Drosophila melanogaster: one gene and its partners. The protein of the gene in region 2 interacts with the protein of the main gene of each other region in a pairwise test. Each region holds a gene or a part of one and is shown on either strand. Other genes may lie near its edges.

Region 1 (8,648 bases), on a different chromosome or scaffold from region 2:
AGTAAGCACTGCCGTTCAGCGAGTTGGCCGGCTCGTAGCCCTCGAAACTTTGTCTGTAGGCGTTTTGGAAGTGCATCTGGGCGTGGCTTTGCTGGTGCGGCTGCTGCTGTTGCAGCTGCTGCGACTGCTGCTGCTGGTTGTTGTAGAGGGGCAGGAACACCTGGGCCTTGTGCTCGGGCAGCTCCTCGTCGGGAAAATCGAAGTGGGATTGCGGGGAGGTGCACGTGCTCTGGACGCCAGGACAAGATTGAGCCGAGGCCACCTCGTCCACGGTGGTGGGCAAGTAATCCACATAGATCTGTTGCTGGTGCTGTTGTTGCTGCTGCTGTTGCTGGTGGATTAGCTTCTTGTGCTCGGGCTGCATGACCAGTGATCCCCCGGTTTGGCAATCGTAGTCGCCACTGCTCCTGGCCCTCTTGCCGTGCTCGTTCCAAGAGGATCCGCTGCTGGCCTGGCCATCGAAGCCACTCGGATTGTTGCCGGAGCTGTTGGTGTTGCTGCTGGTGTTGTTGTTGTTCAGCTCCAGACTGGTGCTCTGGGCACTCTGGTTGCTGCTGGTGCTCAGGACCTCGTTGCTGGGTATGTTGTAGTCTGTGTCCTCCAGTTCGGTAATACCATAGGCGGCGTACTCCGAGGGCAGTGGGGCGTACTGGGCATGCTGCTGCTGGTGGTGCTGCTGGTGGTGCTGGTGGGAGTGGAGGTGCTGCTGCTGGTGCTGCAGCTGATAGCCGGACTGCATGTAGGCCTGCTGCTCCACCTGTATCAGCTTGATCACATTGTTCTGCAGCTCCATGATGTTGGGCAGTGTGGGCTTGTAGCTTATGTCCAGCAGCACTTTGGGCGACACCGAGCGAGCGCTCATCATTTGGTGATCTTGCTTGGCTTTTTAGCGCACTTCTTCAGTTAGAATTTGTGGTATCTAACAATATATTCTTATTTCGGAACTGTATAACTCCGTAGATATTCTTCACGCCCGCGTTTTGCTGGATCGATCTGCTCGCACGCACTTACGGAACGCAACTGACGCAGGATCCTTCCGGCCATTGCTCAAATTGACATTTTGCGGCTGCTCGACGGCCATTCGCTGCCGCCGCTCTATCGTCGTCCCGCTCGCTCGCTTGTCTTGCCATCCCGCTCCCACTCAATGGCGGAAGCTGCGGCATCGGCAGGTATGACGTCAGGCGGCGGGGGATTTCGATTTTCTCGAGCGGCAGCGGCGGCTGCAAAACGAAAATACAGCAAATTCAAAGCTAAATTGAAGAGAGCCTTGACTCGACGCTCTGGATTTTTCTGTTTCTCTTGGGTTATTCTTTGGGTTTTCTCTCGATTTGGGAAAATGCCTGGGAAGTATGCGTGTTGGGATGCGGGACGGGGAATACGAGGGGAATTGTCGGCAATTTTTGAAATATTTTACTTGTTGATTCAAAAAGGGGATTGAGAATATCTTTGGATCGACGGGAATTCATAGGACAGAGTTTCTAAGTTTTGAAAAAGTGCATTCAGAGTAATGATAAATTATGTTTATTACATAAAAGCATTTCCTGAAAATTGCATTCTGGTAGAAAAGATTTTGTTTTGCAATTCCCAATTGAACATTTAGTAAACTTCATTGAATGTTGTTGTTTGCAGCGTTAGTTTAGGTTTAGACAAGAATTTAACTTAAAAACTTGAAATGATATGGAAATAAGTTATATTCTTTTTGTAAAAAAAAAAATAAGACGCAATGAATCTCCCCTGATCAAAAACACGAAAATCCACATAAATCGGGTATCAAATTCATTTAGATGTAAGTATATATAAATCGATTATAAGTTATATCTATCTGATTGCATATTTACCCAATCAACTTTGCTGTGCGAGGATTTTCCATTTGTATATACTTTGGGATCGCAGGAATTTCCCAGGAAACAAGCCGAAATGTTTAGACGCTCGCCCATCGAAATCATTCCGCTATTAAATAATCATCAGTTAGTTGCCAACCATCGTAAAGCGTGCAAATCCACAACCCTAACCGAGGGGAACTCCACGAAAAGGTTTCATTATGCCTAATTAGTGAATTCCCACACACACGTACCGAGAAAATCGCAGGCGAATGCGGCTCGGAGCTCCGAAAATCCAGAAAAATACGAGCGAAAAGTCAAATTTCCGGATATAATTATCTGTTTGCCTGCCGGGGCCACCAAAAATACCCGATTAATGCAGAGCGCGAACTTCCGCTGGAAAAAACCACGATCGAAGATCTCCGATCGCAGATCGCCGATCGCCGGCTTAGGTAATAGCAAAACCCAGGACTCGAAATGGTCCCCTTAGAAAAACCACCAACAGGGTTTTGCCCTGTCCCAAAACTACCTGGACTTAGGAGCTTGGACATGATGAGCAATATGATTTACTGCCCTCAGCACATTTATTATTATTGTTATAAAACACAAAGTAATATAAGCTTAAACTATTGGTCGGTAATTAATGCAGAAATATACTTAACGATGAGATTATTTTTAAAGTAAGAGCGAATTTTGTGTTCTTATTGGTCAAAAAGACAAAATAAATGTTGCCAACTTTTTGGATAAAGTGTATAAATATATTTTAAGATAATCAATCTCAATGCGCGCCTGAAAGTATGCATTGAAATATGTGTTTTAAATGCAATTTTAGATCATGCCTTTAAATTAGACATACATATGTGAAGTAGCTCGCGTGAATATAACTTAGGATAACTTGAGGACATGTATTTCTTGTTTCACTAAAAATACAAATAATTTTAATAAACATATCTTGCCTTTATTTTCCCTGGCAGATGGCGCCAAAGTGAGTGTAGCAATGCTGTACATACAACCATTCAAAATGATCTTAATGTTCAAATTGGACACGCTGCAGTCACGTAGTTTATTGATTTCAATTCCGTTTACGAGCCCAAATCAAACGAAAAAAAAACCAAATGAGAGAGAAGCTGGAAAAGGTATTTTGCGTATTACTTTTTTTCACGGATGCTGCTTCTGTTTTTCATCTCTTGTCGTTTTTTGCGGCTCTGCGTGGTGCGATTGCCAAACGATTTCCAAGCGCACCAACTTTCCATTTTGACAATGCTCTAATCCTGCCATCGCAAAAACCATGTGTGTGGCAGTGTTTGCGGAGCGTGAGAAGAAACTTTTGGTGCACGTAAATCTCGCTCGACAATCAATTAAAATTAAAATATTTTTTGCCTGCCAAGCGCGCAGCGTTGTCTACATATTCGAATTGACTTTTGATGATGTATCACGATTTATTGTTACCAAAAATGGTCGTCAAAGCGCGTGGAAAAGTGGATCAGGTAGTCTGGCGACGTCTAACGGGTTGGGTGCTGGGATCAAACGGGGCGGTGAGCGGTCGGCGGGCAAACTCCCACAGCTTTTGATCTTACAGTGGAAATACCCTACATCGGATAGAAATTTCTGCATCTGAAAATGAGCTCTTTTTCATGGAGTCTATAAATTTGTGAGTAAATTTAGATCTCAGTATAAATGATAAATTAATCTTTATGAAAATTCTTCTTGTTAAAACACTTTTGAGTTGTGCTTAGATAAAATAAGATTTGATTTAAAATTTATTGTCCAATTTATTACCCAAAACTCAGTTAACAAGCACAAATGCCTTTACTGAAATCATGAAATCATTTTTAATTTCTTTAAATTGCAGATGGCATTAACCTCTGTTCTTCTTTAAAATTATAAATTGTTCTTGAAAATGGTTATATGTAGATAAATATTTATTAAACTGTATCCTATATGGTGGATGCAAACAGTAAGGTTGATTAGCGCATACTAACTAGATTTAGCGAATTTCGACTGTGCTGAGCTGGCAAAAATCGTGTGCGATGCAGCCTCTGCGATTAGGAATAAGTCGCTTGATGGAAGCCGCGGCTGCTGTCAGCAAGTGCTCCAAAAAGTATCTTGCGCTTGTGTTAATTGCTCCCACTCACCGCACACATATGACCCACCTGCCCCACCTGCGCCACCCCCACCCCGCGTTCAAGGGGCCGTCAGCCAATGAAATCGCTGGCGCCAAACACCTACACTTTGAGCTTGTCAAGCTTCTGTCTGCGTGTGTGTGCTGCATGTTAATTAACAGCCAGCACAAACACACACACCTACACGAGTGGCAAAAGCGCTCACACACACACACACGCTGGCGAACATGGGTGGGGGCTCTCACACACACAGACGCGCGAGTGTTGGCCACCCAATAACATAAGCGCCAACTTGTCATTTTAGCCTAGCTCCACCTTAACTAAACAAACAAACAAAGTGGTGCACACACACTAGCACACGCGCGCGCGAATGTCAAATGCGTGTGCGGAGGTGTGGTGAGTAGCGAGCGGCAAAGCTCACCACGCTCGGGGAGCCAAAGTTGGCGGTTAAAATTCGAAGAGCTCAGAGCAAGTTTGCTCCGCGCCGCGTTCAAACGTGCTGCTACGTGCGGGAAACGCTTCTTTTTTCCTTGCTTTTTTTACTCACATCCATGCTCAGTTGAATTGGAACAATAACAAGAATAAAGAGTACACGATTATGATATGATTATAAAATATTAGCTGACATATTCACTACGCGTTCCATTCCGTTTCGTTTCGCTGCGCTTTTCCAACCGGCGTTTCTGCGCATGCGTGCGTGCTTGCACTGCGTGCTGCAACTTAGTGTTTGTGTTGGTGCGACGCTTTAAATGGCGTTTTAAGTGAAATTAAAATGACGGATGTGCTGTAATTTGCACACTCACGCTCGCTCGATAAATACAACAACAGCAGCGGCAGCAGCAGCAGCAGCAGCAACAACAACGAATGAAACCAAGAATCCAGAGGAATAAATAATAGCAAACACAACACAACCAACACACGCCGTTTGGTGGGGCGTTGTGTCCGTAGCATGTGCCTCAGTTGATCGAATTAAGTGCGAGTTTTATAGCGCCCGCGGGACCGGGAACTGCAATTGACTGCCCAACCGGAAATGCAAGCCCCCAACAACAAGTGTAACACCCCCGCCCAGGAAGCGTCGGCAATAAGTGCTAATAAGTGAGCCGCAGACTATAGATAAAACCGGATGCAGGGCCACTAGTAATTGCCAATTTCAGTTATCACCCTGCCTCGTTCAATTGGAAAAATCTGTTGGTTTTCGGTGCTCAGTTTAATTTTTATTTTTTTTTTAGTCATGCTTAGGCGGCTCATCACATATTTGCTTAAGTAGCTAAGCAACTAAGTAATTTCGTCACGCACTGCGCGCGCTGCATTCGTTACCCCACAAAATGCGGCTTATGCTTCTGCTACGGTGGCCCCCTTCCCCGCAAAGGGTAGCCCCCCGCCACCGAAACGCATAAACAAGTTGCAAATAAAAAAAAAAGATAAAAATAAAACTAAATAATACAAAGAAGCGCAGAAGGTTAAAAAAAAAGGGTAGAAAACAAAAACTCAAGGTGCGTTGCACTCGTTTTGTCATTGATTCCGCGGATGCGAAATAGCATGCGGCAGTTGCAGGCAGAAAAGAGCACGGGCAACAGCTGCTGCGACAAAAGCCAGGCCAAAAGCAAAAGCAACGGCCAAAACCAAAACAGCGATTATTTCAGGCATCCGCCTCCACCTTCCCACCACCCCCTCCCCGCCAAGCCCGGTAACAGAAAACAGAAACCCTTGCTGCTGCCTGTCTTTTGTAACGTGGCCAGAACGTTGCCGGGCAATTATTATTTTGTAAGACGTTTTACAATTTAATGGTTTTCATGGTAAGTACACCGATGCGAACGCCAACGCCATATGCCATGTGCTCCCCTTTCTCGGCCACCTCTGCGACCCTGTCAGCCGATAGTTTGTTTTGGCGACTTGCGGGTTAGGGGGTCACGAAGGGGTCAACCGGGATTGCAGGGGAGCCCTGGCCAACACCAACCTGTTGCATTTCGACGCAAAGAGGGGCATTGTACGACTCTTAATTCCCTGTTTCTGCTTCTCTTTGCAGAATGGACTTGGATCCGACCCTCTGTCAGCAAAGGAGGTGAGTTCCCAGATTAACTATGGCGGTGGAGATAAGATCCGGGCGACCAGCAGAGGTTCAGAATATAGTTCTATATACATACATATATGTATGTATGTATGTATATGTATGTATATATCCCATAGTCAAATGAAGCTTAGTAAAATCTTAATAGGAACTCATTCTATAGTATCTTAGTACCTTAAAATTAAAGCTTTTCTGCAGTTTAATTGCGACTGCAACCATGTTATTTCGACGCAATCTTTTCCGCACCTAACTAATTGTTATTGCCTGCAATTTGTCTTCAATATCAGTCAAGTACAGCTCATTAGGGCCCATCGGTTTCATGAGCCACAATTACCACCGAAAAAAAGCGTTCATCAATTAAGAGCAAGAAGAGTGAAATATTTTCATGTTAGCGATACACTTCGGCCATTCGAAATGGCAATTGCGTAGGAATTCCCAGTGGGCCAATTCGTTTGGTTGCCCCATAAAACCCATCCCATCCCAGTCCGTCCCATCAGTCGCCTCAAAGCAAAAGCCGTCAGCGGAAAACGGGGAGCAGAATACCACATACCAAGCGTAAGACAATCCATAAAATTGAGTTCCATTGGATCCACGCGACGGTGGGGGAAATCGGAGCCAACTAATGTCCCGGCCATTCCCGATCGTTCTATCAATTGCGGCGCCTATGAGAAATTTCAGCACGTCCCAACACAAATTAGCAGATCGGAGGCTGCAGCGCCCCATAACAATATCATAAAGCAGCGAGTTTGGGGCAAGACGGGTGGATCGGCATCGGAATCGGAATCGGAATCTATATAACAATAAATCAGCGCGGGCAATTAGAGGGTAAAGTGAATGGGGGCCAAGAAATATAAATATAAATACCTTTGGACAGGGGCCAACATCAGTCGCATATCAATTGCAATCTCCAGCGTCGATCGCCGTCTCCCATCTCCCATCTCCCGTCTTCCATCTTCCATCTTCCATCTCGAATTCGATCTCGATTCCGATCTCGATCTGGATCTGGATCGAGATCCAGATATCGATCTCCGCTGCCGGCCAATGAAGTTGTTGTTGTCAATGTTGCGGGCCATAAAGCGGACTGGAAAGAAACCCAAAAATGCCCCTCGGCTGCCATTCGACACAATCGAAGACAAACTATCTAACCTAATGCTGGCAATGAGCATTTGTTTGTTTAAATAACTGCATGGCAGTAAGCGGCGACAGCGGTAAACAACTGCTCACATCGCGTGGCCAAGTTCTGGGTGCTCCCCCAACCCGACCCCTCTTGGCCACTCGAGCTTCTTTTCGCCCACTCGCCACTGACATTTTTTCATAATTTGCGCTACAAGCCTGACAATTGTCGTTGTTGCCCACTGGGCACACACTCTGCACTCTGCATCCATGGATGCTGACTTGGTTGTTCGCCGTCCTGGTTGTCGGTTGTCCCCGCTGGTTGTTGGTGTTGCCGGCGTTGTTCGCGACCATGTTGTTGGCATCAGGCTGCTTGGCTACCCTGCAAGTTGGGTTAACCACGTTGACTGGTCAAAAGGATAACTGAGAACTGAGGTTGTGACAACTTGTATAGCATTATTGGAAAGGTTGCCCTTTGAGCAGATTTAGCCATTATTAAAATAGGCAAAGAGTGGGCCTAAGCTTAATAACTACGCCAAGTGATTAGTCATGGTCGAAAACACCCTTTAAATATTGTAATAGAGTAAGCCTCATTTAAATAATACTGCAAAGTGTTGGCTCTGACACCCCATCCCCCGCAAAAAATGCATATGCAGTGCCAAATTAAAATTTATCCATTTTATAGCGCTGCGGGCAGCTCATAACTGTTTCTTTGTTATTTTTCGCCGCTTTTAACATTTTTTTTTTTTTTTCGGTTTTTATTGCCGTTAGTTTATTGGCTAAAGATTTCGTAAGCACATGAAATGCGCAACAATTGCGGTTTTTCGGTTTCTTCCCACTTATCTGGCCCGATCTCCCATATGGAGTAAGCCAGATATCGACGGAAGTCATTTGCGGTGGTTCCAGCTAGATGAATTCAATAAGCAAACAGCTCCCAAGCACGCACACTCCACTCCAGTCCGCTCCGCACATTTCCCTAAAAACCCCCCCAGTTAACTCCATGTTCTCGACCATCCAACACTTTCGCCCATCAACAACATTTTGTCAAACTTGATTAGCACTTGATTGGCCCGAGCAGAGCTTATGACTCTATTGTTCGACTGCATACATAATGGGCTATACTATACTGAATCTCCCCCGCCGCCCGGCGATAAACAATATTGATGACGCTGTCGATAATCTTTAATTTCTTTCCGATCCACAGGCAGAGGGCCCTCCGGTTCAGGTTGAACCAGTTGATCTGAGCTTACGTTCGCCGCGCGGTAAGTTGCTAATTATACGCTATCTAAGTTGACTCAACCTGAACTCGCATGCCGACTGGGCCGAAAACAATTAATCAATGGAATGACCGCCACAAGTTGATCACTTGAAAACAAAATCAGGTCATCTCCAGTTAGAGAACGCTGAATGTCTAGAAAAATGAGGTACAAGACCAATTTGCATTTCTTCTCTAATGAAGTTCGACTCTTTTTGGGCCTAAAGTGATGAAAAGATGATGTTCCCGGGAATTGCCGATGGTGGGTT
Region 2 (8,689 bases):
TGTGTGTGTATGTGGGCGCGTCCTTATCGCTAAGCAAACAGTGCAACATTTTGTCGCCATCGCATTTATTTTTCTTGTCCTCCGCCTGGCGTTGCGCTACAGAGGATTCCCTATTCCCTATTCCCGATTCCCGAATCCCAATTCCGATTCAGTTTTGTAAATTCTGGACCACCCGCGCAATCAGCGACGGCTGCACTCCAAGCAAACATACAGCCACTTTTCCATCCAGACTCTTTTTGTTTTCGCATTTAATTTTGTTGCTTTTCACACCGAATGGAGACTCCGGATGGCATCGAATGGCAGTTTTGCTGTCAACCGCCCAGCCGACTGTATTTGCTGCCAAAAGTGCTGAATTTGCATACCAAACTCGTTCCCCTACCGATCAGCCAAATATTCAGATTGAAAATATTGAGCTTTTGGATACGAATAGCCTAGTTTATTGAGATAGGAGATGCCCCTTTTTGGCTGCCAGTATTTGGGGATATGTGAACATTCTAATCCATTCCAATAATTAAATGTAAATAATAATATTAATGATCAAGAATTTAAACATTTTTCGGTACGCTACAAATCCTTTTCTTTCATCTCTTAAATGTAGTTTGCTTTTAATGGTGGTTCCAACTATAAATATTTTTTGTTACATTTTCCAGTTTGAATTGGCAGATACAACCAATATCGCTGCCCATTTGATTTTGAAAATTTCAACCATCTGACCAAAAATCAAGCCCTTCATGCTCAGTGGAGTCTTCCATTCGAAGATTACTTTCAGGCCTACTACAGTCTTTGGCACACTTTTGGCTGGCACTCGAGCGCCATTCACATGCCACCCAGCCAGGTATTCCATTGTTGGGGCTACGAACAGCTAGCCAAACCTATTGACTGACTGGCGTTCGAGCGGTGTCCGCCATTGAAAGCAGCCGTCCCAGCTGCGAAGCACCTGAGCGGAGATTGGGCCACAAATCGAGAGCCATACAGATACACACATGACCAGATTTCTTCCCCGAGTGCGATCTCAATGCCGCGGTGGCGCCAAGCGGCGCTCACTCAAGTGACAATGTCGTCGAGCAGCCTTTATTGGAATAAATCCAAAGCCGAGTTCCGAGACGAGACCATGACCAGCTGCCCATCGTCATCGCCAAGTTAACAGCGTATTTTGGCCATCAATCAGTGGCGCTTCATCTGCCGATCTTTGGCGTTGGTTGGGTAACTGGTTACTTCGCTGGCTAATAAGCTCAACATACTGATTTATTCGCACTCACTCACGCTGCGCAGGCTGGTGTTTTACTTTCTACCAATTTGTGGCAATTGTCTGGCAATTAGGAGCAGCTACAGTGTTCCCTGTGGGGGCACAGTTTTCTTAACTAAAGATTTGTAATTTGTTGGCCATTGTTGGACGGCAACCTTAGAGAAAGCTAACATTTTCGTTTATAAATGACACTTTTAGGGGGGAATAATAATATAATTCTTCTGGATACAATACGATCTTGTCAGTTGCCATAAAGTGGCTTAAAGGATCCTCAATTTCAAGTTTTTAAGCAGAAAGAAGCTCAGACTACACAATCTAACAGTGAATATAATATTATAAATACTAAAGTTACCCTTTTTTGTAAATACCTTTCGATAGCTAGTCGTGCATATGAAGCATACAATTTCCTGGAAATTTTCATTTATTATTCCAAAAGGTCGAATGCATAATTATTTCCACTGAAAGGGGGGAAGTGTTTTCTATCCGATCGCTTGACAAACGACATATGTCCACGTTTGCAAGTCCATCGGAACTGCAGCCAACTGATCGAGTGAGTCCAAATGATATGATACGGCTACCCAGAAAGCCATCTTCCAGTGACAATTGGCCAGTTGAGTCATGCATTCGGGGCTCGAAACGGACACGCCTTGAATAATTATTTATCTAGGAATTCTGCGTGCGGGCTATCCAGTTTCGGGGTAAAAAGTCTGTTTTGCCAGCCAAATGCTCAATGGCCAGATGGAATAGCGAAAGTCGCTCCGAATATGAAGGGGCCAAATAAAACACACGATTTGAGATATTTTAACATATTTTCAATACACTTTTTGTTCGGCTCATATTGGTGGTACGCTAGTTTTGATAGTTATGTTATAGCTACGATTTAGTTGTATAATTTATTATTGCTTACGTGGGCTAGGCTAGTGTACTAGGCGATGATAGATCGATCCGATGCGGTAGTTTTAGTTATTGACAAAATGCTCTAATTTAAGTTTATGTTCTGTGTAGCAAAACCCCATCACAAATTGCGTAGCAGACAATTGGGACTATGCCTAAATTCGATAACAATTACGAGCTACAATTACAAATACAGTTAATACAATACAATACGTTAATGCGGTTGCTTAACAGCTATGTCCCCCATTATTTCGTATACGGATAAATCGAAAACAAGTTGGAAACAAAAAGATCTGAGATAGCAGACTCTGGACCCCGAGGGATCACCACCCCCAGGCTGTGTAGACTCGTTCTTGGGTATATTATATGGTGTATGTATTTACAGGAATATACAAGAGAGCCCAGCCCAGTCGCCGAGAATCCAGCCCACAGGCTTACACCCCGTACTTGATGCCGTACTCCTGGTAGTGGCCCACATGCGGTCGGTAGTGGCTCAGATTGCTCAGCTGACCCAGCTGGCCCAGGTTCCCGCTAAGCGCCGCATGGTGATGATGGTGGTGGTGGTGGCTACTGATCACCGCCGCCGCTGCTGCCGCTGATGCCGCTGCCACGGATGCGGAGGCAGGTGGACTGGCGGATTGTAGGCTGCCGGTGGGACTACCGGTGTCCAGTTGGCAGGATTGGTTCTGCTCGAAGATCATGTCGCGGAAACCCAGTGCCGATGTGGGACTGCTGGTCAGCACGCTGGAGGATCCTCCACCGCCACCGCCGCCGCCTCCGCCACCGTTGCCCACTCCATTGTGGTTGAGTACGCTGCTGCTGTTGTTGTTATTATGTCCCGGGTGGGTGGGTGTGCCCTGCTGCCCATTGTGAGGAACGGGTTCCGATGGTGGCGTTTCCGGGGTATACCAACCCCCGTGCGCGGGACCATGCGGAGTTGAGATCGTGGTGGGCGAGTGTCCGGACGATTGGCCTCCCGCTCCTTGGCCGCCGGGGGTCAGAGGATGGGCCACGTGCGCCACATGACGCTGCAGTTGCTGGGCATGATGGGCCGCCGCAGCGTGGTGGACATGATGCATCTGACTGCTGGCCACCGTGGCCAAGTTGTCCTCGTTCAAGTGGTAGGGATAGGCGCTGTGATGGATCCGCGGGTTGTACACATTCATGAGTGAGTCCACGGTGAAGCCGGGATGCTCCACTCCGCCGCCAGCCAAGTGGTTCATTTGGGCCAAGCTGTCGTGGCAGGAGTTGAGCATTGCGGCATGGGAGACCTCCTTGCCACTTAGACAACCCAAGTCCATTAGGGGCTCCTTTTTGAAGTGGGCAGCATGGGCGGCCATGTGCTTGGCCTCCAGTATGCCGTTGGTCATCAGCTTGAGGGGCTTCATCTCGGCCAGCTTCTCGTTCATCATGGCCTGCCGCTTGATGGCCTCCTCCTTCTCCCGCATCACATCCTTCTTCTTGAAGCGGCGACGCCGGCGAAGGAAGGAGCCGTTGTCGAACATGTTGTAGGAGTCCGGATCCAGAGTCCAGTAGGAGCCCTTGCCGGGCTTCTTGTCATCGCGGGCCACCTTCACGAAGCACTCGTTGAGGCTAAGATTGTGCCGAATGGAGTTCTGCCAGCCCTGCTTGTTGTCGCGATAGTAGGGAAATCGCTCCATGATGTACTGATAGATCCCGTTCAGGGTCACCTTCTTGTCCGCCGCATTCTGGATGGCCATGGCTATCAGGGCGATGTACGAGTAAGGTGGCTTTACAATCTCCTTGTTCTGGTGCGGGGCACCCAGGCCGTAGGCGCTGGCCGAGTACGGATAGCGGGAGTACTGGTCGTATGCGTAATGTGCCGCTGCTGCAGCGGAGGCGCTGCTGGCCGCCGCCACCGCGGATGCGGATCCGTAACCGGCTGCGGTCTGGGCATAGTGGCGCGTAAAGGAGTTCTGGTCGCTGAATAACGTATGCATGGCGGCGATTCCGGCGGATTTCTGATCGATTTTCCACTGCCGCCTTCTGGTATTTTCGTACTCTCTTGCTTTTGTCTTGCTTTCTTTCTCGAACTTAATCACTTCACCACTGGCTGCTTCTTATTATTTCTAGCGATAATATTTGCTTAAACAAGTCGCTCACATAAGTGCAGATATATAAATCTATATATATATATATATATATATGCATCTATTTGTAGTACAGGGGAAATGGGAGCGCAGAGCGAGCGCAGAACCGTTCGGTATAGTAACACGTCTGATACTGAATCTGTGTAACTGAAATAACACACAGCTCGCATCGAGCAGAAGCGTTTGCGTCGGCAGAGCGTCGCCCGCACCAGAAAGTATCTCGATCCGCTGCCGCACAGTATCTGTGTGTACCCGCACAATGTATCCGTATCTGCATGTGTATCTGCAGCCAACCAACGATGGCTGCCACTCGCAGTCAGTAAGTGAAGTGGGCCCGCAAACACAGCTGCGTCGAAAGTATCTGTGTGTGGCCAAGAGAAAGAGAGAGAGAGAGAGAGAGAGAGAGAGAGAGCGGACGCCATTCATGCTTTCTTTTTTGTATAGGAAAAAATAGTTAGCTAGCTACGGTGTGTGTCCTGTGGGCACTCCTCCCCTACCCGTCGCTTTTCCAAGCCCTTGTTTTTGTTGTTTAAACTAATGCTTAAAATACGGCCTATCGCCCTCTCTCTCTCTCCCTCTCTCTCTCTCACTTCCGCTCTCGCTCGCTCCCTCTATCTCGCATTCATGATATACTAGATACAATGGTAGTAAGAGCGAGCGAGAACCACATCAACTATGAGAGGCACCTGGGAAAGCCAACAGCACAGGCACAAGTGGGTGGAGGTGGTGGTGAACCAGGGGCTGCAAACGAGCCAACCACCCACTTAACTCACCCTTCCAATGACTTCGGCATAAATTAGTGATAAAGTTCTTTCGATCTCAGCTTAAAGTTGTTCGTCTTCTCGGGAGAGGCAGAGACCAAAAAGTTGCCTGCTAATTTGCAGTTTGATGGGTTTTCGCCAAGATGTTCAAGTTAAGGGCCACGTTTGAAGGTTGTTTTCGTTGAGGGCAAGGCATTAAGTTTTTAGCAACTCCCTTTTTCGGGCGCTTGAATTGACAATGGTTTTTTTGGTGTGCAAAGGGCAGGAATTTTTCAGGCTTATTTAAGGTAAGAATTTCAAGAATACTCAGGATATTAGACAAACATGTTTTCCACAGTTTTTCAAGAACTATTGTATCACCCTATATATAGGATCCTTATATAATAAAGATTCATTAAATTGTTGTTCATGTTAAAATGTCCTAAAAAAGAAAACCGAAATTTTTCTAATATCTAAAATGTATCTAATATCAAAAAGAATGAATATATATATGTAGAAAACTTTTCCCTTCTGCAATATTATTATGAAGCGAGTTATTTATTTAAAAATTGCTCTATTGGCGTGATTAGTTTAAATCAGAGATAATAATAATTGAACAGTTAATACAAGTAGAGTTTTGTACCATAAATTTATAACATATTAAAATTGCACTTGTTTTTATGTTATCTCCTATCCGCCTTTTGACTTGATACTCATTCACTCCACATTTCCAAACATCGAAAGGGTTACTAACCAATTTACAAGCCAAATAACGATAGAGTCAAACATAAAAAGTCCTTCGGCCTCGTCCTTCCCTCTCGCGACTCCTCTGCTCGTTGAGTCCTGCAGTGTCGTTTTTTTCGCAGACTTCATTTCTATTTTCTGCTTATTAAAACAATATTTTTTATTGACTTTGTCAGCTTTAAAGTAAATTTCATATGTTTATTTGGGCAAGGGCAAGTGTGCGTGTGGATGTGAGTGTGTGTACGCGAGAGGCCGAATGGGATGGGCTGGGTGTTTGTCTGGTTATTAGACACAGGGAAAACAAACACGCACATATTTATATTTGGATAATTTAAAAGTATGCTGACTATTTTTTATTTGTACTTTCCGTGGCTGTCTGCAAAAACCGAGCGCTTTGCATCACTTTAAAACCCCAATCGTCTGGGTAATTGATACAAGAATAATATTTGGCTCTATTAACGCAATCGCATTATTTTGACAAATATTTTTATTGTTTTAACATAATTTTTCGCATGCGATCTGTCGGAGAGGATGAGGCTATGAATCATCGTCATGTGTGTGTCCAGTTGGCCACATATCCTTTGCAGGATGCGAAAGGATGAGAGTCCTGCATTTGAAATTCGAATGAGGCGACTCCGCCGCCGTATGCTCCATTTTACGCACTTTATTTGGCTTCCTTCTGGTTTCGTTCCATATTTTTTTCATTTTTTCCTCTCGAGTTTCAGGATTGCTGCTGCTGATTTAACAAATTTCGTCTTCGACATCGGCGCCGTGATTGCGATTGTATGGGTTTCGCTGTGGGTGTGAGCAGTTTTTTGTGAGTAACTGTCTACTGGCTACGTCTGTGCATTTAGCGCAGTTCATGTTATTCTTACGTAGTTGCCATTGCCTGTCTGTCCGATTCCCCCATCCCCCATCCTGCACAGCTACAGCTGTCCGTATCCGTACTGCTCTGCCACTCCATCGTATCTGTATCTGTATCTATATCTGCAGCCATCCCACTGCATTTGACCTATCTAAATATTGATTTAGTTTCCCAAAACTGCAACTTAACATTTTCTCCGCGAATGCAGTGAAAGCTGAAAGCTGCTTTTATCTCGAATGTAAAAGTTGTTTACTAGAAAATAATGCAGTTTTGTGAAAAATGGTCGTTATTACGTGATATATTCCTAACATATCTTATAGATATAGAATGACCTTGGTCTTGTCCCTTTCAATAATTAAAAACGCGAATCTGCATAGCCCTATGAAAAATACTATCTTTCGTTAATCGATTATGACTCCGAAATATGCCTTAATTACCCAATTAAAATGATCATTAAACACAAATCGCAGTTCTATCAACTTTAGGCCTTGATGGGCGCCTATTTGACAAGCACAAAATTTGTCAATTTGGCAAGCACATTTGCCGTACTGAAATGACAACCCCCCCATAATTTTGGCAAGTGGAAAGCGAGTTTTGGTAGATGTGTCTCGCCCATTTGCCACGCTCAATTTGCTGCAGTCAACGGAACGTTGACACCGCTGTTGACAAGGAGAAGCATTTGCAGAATGAGGAGCAGCCGGCGAAGAAACGAGTGCCAACATGTGGCCGTTCAGTGCCCATTATTAAATTTTAGCAATGCCCTTTTTGGGCAGAACTCTTTCTTCTCTTTTTTTCGGGTGAGTAATCCAAGAATAATATTGATTTTAAAGTGCAGGGGAGTGCAACTAATCAGACACTTGAACCAAGGACTTAAGCAGCCAAAAAAAAATACAATTTTTTTTCGTTGGGAAGGACAGGAAAGGAAATGCAGGAAAAATGCTGATAAAGCGGTTTCGATCTTTGAAATAAGCGTCACTCACACGCACGCAGAGAGTAAAGTAACGCACACAGATACACGTCGACACACAGATACACGCATACGAACGCACGCTCCGCTGCTCTCTCTCATGAATATGCAACAATTTCTCTTTCTCTCTGCCAATATGAGACAGGCGGCACACAAATACACTCGCAAAAACGACTGCGCAGAATTGAGAAGGGGGCGTGGCCAGCTGTGGAAAGGGATGCAGCGATGGCGTTGCCTACAGTTCGCTCTCTCCCTCGCACACTGCAGTTTCCGGTGGCCACAAAACTTGTAGATACTTCAACCCGCACCCCCTCGACTTGTTTTGCGTTTTGGTTTTTTTGGGGTGGTTCCAGAGTTATGGTTCGGAGTCTATATTGGCCACTCATTAAAATTTATGATTCGTACACAGTTGCGGGCTTATTATGCATATATTCTCCAATTTTTTTTCCGCGACTGCTCTCTTTGGCCAGACAATTTAGCAGATTAGTTGCAGACAAACACACGCGCGTTCCCAGGAAGGGGCTGGGAAATATCCGCCATTAGCTTAATCATAAGCGTAATCATGGCGAAAATCTTCCGGTCATAAGCAGCGGAAATTCAGCAGACGGCGCTAAGTCTGGACTCTGGACTCCGGAATCTGGAGTCGAGTATTCGGAGTCCGGGTCCGGGTCCGGGTCCGGATCCGGATTCCTACCTGGCCAACACCGGATGCCAAATGCTAATCATGGATGCTTAGGCATTGATCGTTCCAAAGAGGGGAAACTTTTTAGGCATGTTTAGACTTTAATGCGCGCCGCGGGAATTCTTAATGAAACCTCAAGTTCTCGCTGGGTTTTCCCCCAGATGCTTCAGATTTTGAGGTCTCGATACTCGGACTCAAACTACCTGGACTCGACTCATAGCCGCTCAATGTGTCCGGTTTTCCCCTGCCGATTTCGTAATGATGATGATGATGATGATTTCACGCGTGTCCTGCGGTTTCTGTGGCTTATTAGTGATCTTCATTGGCTTACAAGCCGCAACCCGCTGGGAAGTGGGTGTTCCTGGGCATCAGTGCTGCTGGCTTCTGGATGGGATCCGGATCGGGATGGTCGAAGATAAGTTGGGAGCGTGTCTGAGGTG
Region 3 (8,833 bases), on a different chromosome or scaffold from region 2:
TACATATGTACGTTTGTTACAAAAGAAAATAAAAAAAATCAACTGGCCAAGCTGAAGTGAAGTGCCTCGACTATCCGATATTCCATACAGAACGAGAGCAATGGAAAACTGTCTATATTTGCCCGGCTAGTATTACAAAAAGTGTATAAAACGCTTAATTGTGCCTGTTCTCAACGAACGTAATAGACTCGTTTTCTTTAAAAGCAACAGCTAATGTTTTTACGCGTTTCGCGAATATAAAACAAAAATATAAACTTCGACTATACATTTGACAATCTAAAAGTTTTGATCAAATTGTATTGTTTCAAAGAAACTCACTCTGCGGCGATGTTATTGCACTCGAGAATACGAAAACAGACGCATCGTCTGTTGATTAAAATCAGAGTGGGTGGGGGAGTGTAAATCATATAGGACAAACAAAACAACTTTTGTATGCAATTGTCGTATTGACTTGATTCTCCTCACTCAAAGATTTTACCGTTGACATCATCTGGTCAAGTAAAAAATGTAACTCCGATATTCTTGACCATCAGATGCTCAGTAAATTCAAATCTATTACCTAGTAAGTGATAATACCTTAGGAATATTATTTGTCAATAAAGTTTTTCAAAGCCTTTGCAATCCCAGAAATTTTTTTTGTTCACAAACGGCTTCGAAAATGTAGAAGTGGTAGAGCGGCTATTTTAGACACCAGCCTTTTCTGCATATTTCTGATGAGAAGCTCTTTTATTTGTATTGCATTTTGTTAGTGGTTGTACATTAAACTCCACTTTATTTAATAAAAATATAATATAGGTTATAATATATGTATATGTGTAACAATAATTTCAATCATGAAATAACCCACGCGGAAGCCTTTCCTGTGTGTCTGTCTCATAGTGTGCGATACTCATCTATGTATTTTGTAACCAATTATAACCGAAGAAACGAAATTTAAACATTTTTTGAAATTTGTTACGTTACCACATGCAATTTAAAATTTTTAATTTTGTATTTCCACAAATTTAAGACCAGCGCTTAAAGTCTAAATCATATCAATCATATGGACAGATGGACGGACATTTCCAGATCAACACTGCTTGTCTTGATAAATTTATATGTTTATTATACTATACGATTAACGTATATACTTGTAACCACCCCTATGTGTAATATGGAGTATGTTTAAGGTAAGGTACAAATAGTTTATTAGATTAATACATTTCTGAATTGTTTTTTGTTTAACAATAATATTTAAACAACTAAAGCTGGACGGGCTGTTGTGGTTTAGTTACTAGCTTGCCAAAAGGCTACCTTCGCATCGTCGATCCGCAGATATTTCCTGTTTTATTTTTATTGATTTCTTGGATACGCATTCACCTGTTGATATTTCGACTCGGTTGCTTTTTTTTTTGTACATTGCCGTAAAAAACAACAGCATTAGCGTCAACTATACAACTAGTTTTCATGCAGCATTCCCGCCAACTGTCGTCTTATGTCCTCCCGGCGGATCGACGCTATTTGCAGCATGGCTATGTGGATTCGGGCTTTATCTATATAACCCAAAACATGTTTTTCACTGCAGTTTGCAAGATCTAGACGCTTGCGTAAAAGCATGTTTGCAGGGATGGAAATTAGTTGTAAGCTTTTATGAACCTACTTTTCAAATTAGATCCTATGGAAACGCAGAGTTATGTTGTTAAAGAAACAACATTATTTGAAACACTTTTCAACATTTAAATATGCACTCACTTAATAGGTAGTTAAACTTTAACAAGATCTATTAAAGAGACGAATAGTTATTTTCTATTTTTAATAACTTTCTAATTAAATTATGCACTTAGCAGATATAAAATATTTTCCTAGTATACTTTGTCCCAAATACGATGATCAATTGCGTAATATTTAATCCAATTATTATGAAAGGATGCCTATACGAGCGAAACTGACTCCAAGTGTATTTCAAGCTTCGGTCCCGAAAGCAAACTATTTTCTTGCTTAGTTCGTTGTTGCTAATTTTTCTGTGGGCCAGTTTTGCCAGATCTCTCAGGCAGAACTGGATAAACAACCTGTCATGTTGCCCCCGTACGTACTCCTCAAGTTAAAGTTAATGATCGTGCGTGCAAATGGGTAAGCGCTGTGGATCTTTTAAAAGTGCATGAAGTATTTCTGCTCAAAAATAACTATTCCATATACCTCCGCAATTGATAACAAGTATACTATTGTAAAGTGTAAGCTACAAACCGTACAAAGCTCAAGAAGACATCATTAAGGAATTGAACGATATATTCGATGCTTCACCATCTCCTAAACCATCATTCATTTATCTGAACTCTCAGAAAAAGATGTTACAGTTCTATAATCATCGTTGCGCTTCTTACAATAGATTGGGATAGATTTGCCCGAACCACAGCATTAAAGGTGATGCCTAAAAGACGGTGGTGCTTTAATCATTGTTTTGCATTTGATTGTCTATTTGATGTAACCGAGGAGCCTGCTAAAAACGATGCGCAACACGGCCTTTTGTTCTTATGGGCTCCAGAATTTATGGCGATCCAGAGTGACACCACGGGACAACGAGTAAACAATTCCAGTAGACAGTCGGAAAGCGGCAACAAAAGCAATAGCTCGACAAGTACAATTGTGTAAGATGTTCAATGCCCATATCATTAGTGCCAAATGAAAACTAGATATCGCGATCGAATTCGAGCGAATCAAAATCAAACTGGAGTCTTACTTTAAAGAACATAAATGTAGAATTCCAATTATTAGTATGTACAGGATTTGGAAATCCGCAATAAAATACATTAATATATCTACGACTTCGTTTCTGTCCCCATTCGGCCACGGATACACAAGCACATGCGACCTCAAAAACCAGTCCACTCTGAGCCATTTCGTATACGATCTCCAACTTCTTCGAGCCAGCTACTCATGAAGCATTCCTTCCATCCTCCAACCCATCTGCGACCAGCCCGAATTTCGATTCCAGTTCCGATCGTTGCCTCAGACCTCCCTCCCCTTCCCGAAAGATATTCTCGCGTGGCAATGCACCTGTCGCGACCAATGCTTGTTTAGAGCAGCAACCGGCATAACAAACCGCGATGATTCGGGAAAACTGACCGAACCGCGGGCCTAAGATCTCAGCTTTTGGAAGAACAATGCCAAAAGTTGTGGTAGGGGAAATCTTTTACGACTGTCGTATGGGGAATTTGAATAGTGTCATTGCGGGGAAGCATAGTATACTCACCTTTTCTTACGGAACCCGGTTGATATTATATATATTTTAGTTGTACTCATTTGACTAGGTGCATCAAGGATTGTATTATCGGCCGTGGGCAAGTTATAGATATTTATAGGACAAATATATATAAATGTGATGCGTATATTTATGTATATTATCTTATGGCACTTTGAAAATTCACTTTATTTTTCTGCTTCACATTTACAGCGCCCGATTATTTTCCGTTTGTTTGCCTAACGACACGTCGATAAACGTTTTGATACTTTGGATCATGGCACATATTCGGGAATTTCTGGGCCGTACAAAAACTGCCTAGTCGCTCTCACCCCTCGAGCTATAAGCTTAAAGATATACATTTTCCCATTTGGTTTGGATTTCCAGACAACCCATTGCTAGTTCCTAATACGCGTTTTGTGTAAAGACACTACTTGTGTTCATCTTCGTATCTAATCAAAATTCCGTTGGCTCTACCAATGATGCATCGCGTTAGTCCCCTCGCTCACGGAGCTTGCAAGAGTAATTTTTGATTCGCACAAAAACCGTTTTGCACTGTTCAGCGTGTTTGAGCTTAATTGATGTTTCTTGGCGTTGACTTTGGTCCGTGCTAGGGAAAATGTGAACTACATGGAACGGTATACTGCGAAAATATAAAATACACATACATCGCTCTGAGTCATCACTAGGCTCAGTGGACATTTGTAGTGAAATGATTTGTAGCTAACACTTAACACAAATGCACAACACAGAGTACACGGCAGATGCAGATGCACGTGCACCGCATTCACATGCAAAGTGTGTTGGGTCCTATAGTGGTGTGAGTGCACGATCTTAAGGCAGAACACCCTGAGAATCCATTGTGTACAACTTGTGTGTGCAACCAAATCTTTGCAATCGGTGCATTGCAGGCTTTGAGTCAAAAGTCATTCTGTTCCGACTCAAAGTCGTGTGGTCTTATGCAGCATAGGTTAGCCCGCGCACGTGGAATGTTACCACCACTGTGTAGCGATGTTCACTGGTCACTGATTCCAATTCCACTTCCATTGCTGTTGCCTGTTAACTGCATGTTAATCATATGTTAAGTTTTTACATTAAGAGAAATTTTTTGGACATGTTTGGTTTCTCTTTCTGAACGGAATTTTCTCTTTTTTTGCAGAGAAGCAAATAATGTTAAAGAGGCGTGGTTATTCAATTTGAAATTTGGTTTTGTGACTTGTTATCCAATCGCGGCTCTGCGTTCTGTCTGAAGTTTGGTATTCTTGCGCACGTCCAGTTATACAGCAGATACTTTGCAAATTTTACGCTTCGTTCTCCGTCTCCATATATTTTTGAATTGCAATTCCACGACTGTTTTCGTTGAGATATCGTAACGCAGGTTGAGATCGCTAACAAGATTTACTTTAAGTGTATAAAATACTTACTATACGATCAAGCGGAAACGTAATGATTATATGATTATATTGGAATATATATGATTTTGTCATAATCCGCATTTTGGGTATGTCCAAAATATTTTTGGTATATCAATAAAAATTGTACAGACAAATCAAATGGAAAAATATTAATAAATATTAATATTAATAAAATTTCGGACGGTTAGAGTGGCCATGACAATATTTTGAGATCTGCTTGTATTAAACTCAGCCCTGCATTCCGATTACAATCAAATCGATTATTCATTTATTGAATTTTTGAAAATTGGTAGGTGTGATCGCTTAATTCGATAGATGTCTCGGATTGGTTTAACACTGTGCTATGTTCAGTAATTTAGGATTTGGTAAAAAACGTATAAGTTCGTCTTACAGTAAATAACTATTTTAAAGAGTTTTTAGGAAGCTCTTTTTGATTTATAATAAGAAGTGGAAGATTAAAAAACATGTTATAATACATAAAAAATTTCCTGACGTCTTTATGTTCATTTGAGTATTTTAAAATAAAAATGTTTATAGCGGTATTCTTATAAGGCATTTAATTTATTATTGTATTGTACCCTTAAACATTTAAAACTTTGTCCTTGAACTACAAAAAAACACAATAACGTTTTAAACGGAGAATACTAATAATAATAATTTTTGTAGCACAGGCCCATTGTATAAATTTCGTCTTATATATATGAACCAAAACTTTTGCTTCCAACGTCGCAGTTTGAACTTTTGTTACCATCCCTATTATACATGTATATTTTATTCAAATCAAGTACTCAGTTTTCGATAAAGTTGAAACTCGGCGTGCGAGGGTTGTCCTTGAACCAAACCAATAATGTTTTAAAAAGAAGCAGAGGCAACACCCAATGTATAAATTTCGTCTTGTATATATACACAAGATGTTTTACATATTATTATATAAAAACCACAAGACATAATAGTAGCTAATAGTCCTGAGCTTACACCATGCGCTACTCAAGCCTGTTGGAATGCCTCTCCTCGGGATTTCTAACGCTGTACAGGTCAACATATGTAAGTTATTAGTAGAGATACTTTCTCAGAAATCGCCGGTATTTTTTCAGTTTTTCCAAAAATGCTATCCTGATTTGCGAGGACGATTGGCGTTGCCATCCCAAAATTTACGAACCGCTGCAATCAGAAATGAGAATGGCAGCCCTTTACTAGTGTAGAAAGCAGGTTGGCAGCGCATATAAACTGGTGAATTTACTTTAGGTATAGATAATTACCAACAGATGGCACTTTTGCTACTGCAATTATGACGGACACTAGAATATTATTCTAGTGTCTTTGGTGAAACAGTATTATTCTTGTCTCTTTGTTAAAACGGTATACTAGATTTGCTGAAAAAGAATATAACAGGTAGAGCCCTAAAAAGGATATATTTATAATCAGGATAAATAGCCGAGTTGAACTGGGCATATCCTAAAAGCGAGAAAGAATTTCTTTCCTGGTGTTGCCACGCCCAATATAACGTTGAAAACCTTGACTTTGAAAATTGTGCTGATATTTTAATTTTCATTAGTCTTCTAAATTTATATCCACTTGCAAAAAAACTAATTGCCACGCTCACACTTTTGAAATATAATTTCATAATTTTTTCGTTATATTATGTGCATTAGCATTTCAACCAAGTCCATTCAGCATCCACAAGCCGCTCAAACTGTCATTTTATACATTTTGGGTTTTTTAGATGAATTATTTTTATGCCAATTTCTGTCGATGTCCAAAAATGTTGAAATGTTATGTTTATCAAACCCACTAGCTGAGTAACGGGTATTTGATGGTCTAGGATCTCGACTATATCGTTATCCCTTATACTCGTAGAGTACGACTAAGAAGGAAGCGTTTCCAACCATATTGTTGACCCATGTTGCCACCCCCACTCTAACGCCCACAAACCGCCGAAAACGGTCACGCCCACACACTTTTAAACGATTTCAAATTTGTTTCTCATTTTATTCTCCTTAGTAGCCCAAAGTATCTGAGACCCATGCATTTTTGATAATTGTTATTTATTAATAAACAGAAAGATATAATTAAAATAAAGTCTTGAGTACTCATTTTTCTTGGTCAGACCCGGCATTTTGTGTGCTAAAGATTTGTAATGACTAGAACTGGAACCGTGCTGAAAATGTAACCTTTTTAATATCAAGATGACAGAAATTTGAATTGTTTTGTTCACTAAATTTATTTTGAAATCTATGAAGTTTAACAATATTTTAACATTTGTTATGCACGTTTAAATATTAGTCTACATTGAAAGAACTCTATTTAATAAATATAAATTTATGGTATGAAATTTTGTGGGTGGGTGGTCAGTTTTTAATATTGTTTGTTATATAACTTTAGACAATTAGTTCTTTTATTGTAGTTTCTTGCCAATGAAATTATCTTTTACTTTTGCGAGAGAATTTCTATTTTTGGAGGCGGCGTAATAGAGGAAGTGCGCGAAGTATTTGATGCATCTATACTTGCTCGTCGTGCAGCTGCGGCAATATACGACCCGTAGTACCTACTAAGCATGTGTTGATCAACCTGGTTCAGTTCAAGATACGCATCTGAAATGGGAACTGACAGGGTTGATGTTTTCGCAGTAGCCATTGACGATATGAGTGCAGTTTGGGGCGCGACAATGCACTCTTGTATAGGACATTCCTCAAGTGAGCTTGACTCCTCGTGTTGGCTACTACTGCTACCCAAGGACCTGGCTGCGGAGCTGGCAATTGAAAAGTTGTGCTGTTCAAGGTCTTCTGGATCGTGGTCGGGGTCATGATCGGGATCGGCATCAAATGAAGATAGCCTGCCATCGATTAGGTACGAGTTATTGTCCTCAATGGAAAATATTTGCTTCAAAGTGCCCCTTGTTTTTTTCCTGTCTTCCCCATCCGTATAAGAATCAGTATCAGGAATAATGCTATCGTCTACCACGTCGACATTAACTTCTACATCAATATCAGCGTCTATGTCTGCATCTTGCACAGGTTTTTCTAATCCCAACACAACTTCGCGGTGTATTGTTTGCTTGGTAATGACAGTATGATGAGTTTGAGTTGTTGTCCTCGCCGAAGTGGTTGGCGTAACTGACGACTCCTGGTCTTCAGAGACAATATCAACGATTTGGACATCGGGTGCCAGTAGCGAAGCCACGTCAAACTGGCGCTTCCGCGTCTGCGAAAACATATTCGCGATTGTTGTTGTCGTGGTGGAGTTGATATAGGCAAAGTGCTGATGATGGGAATGTGGCTGCTGGAGCTGAGTTGGTTGGATTGTCTGATCTAGGTTATTCGCCTCTTGTCGTTGCATTAACAAGGCTGGATCTGGTGGGGAATAATGCGTCATACCAGGTGCTGAGCTCCTGTTAAAGAATTGGCCGATATAGTGCTGGTGGTATGGATAACCCAGGGCAGATAGTTGCAGAGCAGACTGGGAACTCGGTGGGGGTGGAGTTGTAAGATCCAAAGGCGGCGGGCTGGGCGAGTCAGTGCTGGCGTCATCCACCGATAGACCCATATGCTTTCGGACCTTACGCTGCGCCTTGCGACGTCTAAAATCCCCTTTGCGAAAATCCTCCATGTTGGCTGGATGTATTGCCCAGTAGTGCCCTTTGCCATTTGCACTTCGTCCAGATTTGATAAAGCAATCATTTAGAGAGAGATTGTGCCTGATGGAGTTTCTCCATCCCGGCCCCCGACTTCTAAAGTAAGGATAATTATCCAAAATATATTGATAAATGTCTGAGAGAACCAACTTCATATCAGTTGAGCTCAATATGGCCATGGCAATCAAACCAATATAGCTGTGTTGCGGTTTAGGCTCCTCAGGTTGAAAAATGCGTTGCGTTTGTGGGAAGAGGGAAATTGTTGAAAGAGCGGCCATTCGATTAACTGATGGAAGACTGCCTGAGCCATGGTGTCCGTAGGGGCTTAAATGCAACCAAGGAGCACTAGCTCCACTGCCACCCGTCCCACCATATTGGGGGCAGCGTAGTCGTTCAATATTGAGTGCATAGTTATACAGCTGGAGGCGGTATTGTTCCAAAGTCATCGTCGTTGATTGAGCTTGTGAAGTTCTTGTCGTTCCAAGTGGGTAGATGTTGGGCAAAGACGGCTTGGGAACATTGCTGTCCCTTGAAGACGTTCCCTGATCCTGGTCAGCAGTGGTCGTCTGT

Evidence for each region.
Region 1: the proteins of croc (region 2) and CG42741 interact in a two-hybrid assay, tested with the Drosophila melanogaster proteins (one large-scale study listed by BioGRID).
Region 3: the proteins of croc (region 2) and Sox102F interact in a two-hybrid assay, tested with the Drosophila melanogaster proteins (one large-scale study listed by BioGRID).

Annotation. Positions count from the first base shown.
Region 1 is NT_033778.4:23,038,700-23,047,347, reverse strand, and holds the start of CG42741 (uncharacterized protein), read left to right. Parts: upstream 1-4,404; 5' UTR 4,405-5,727; coding exon 5,728-5,739; intron 5,740-5,969; coding exon 5,970-6,005; intron 6,006-8,328; coding exon 8,329-8,386; intron 8,387-8,648. Other genes in the region: twi (twist), read right to left, coding at 1-865.
Region 2 is NT_037436.4:21,472,094-21,480,782, forward strand, and holds croc (crocodile), read right to left. Parts: upstream 4,387-8,689; 5' UTR 4,102-4,386; coding exon 2,575-4,101; 3' UTR 2,040-2,574; downstream 1-2,039. UniProt on the Drosophila melanogaster protein: Required for the establishment of head structures.
Region 3 is NC_004353.4:830,150-838,982, forward strand, and holds the start of Sox102F (Sox102F), read right to left. Parts: upstream 4,245-8,833; 5' UTR 3,230-4,244; intron 1-3,229. Other genes in the region: fd102C (forkhead domain 102C), read right to left, coding at 7,060-8,833.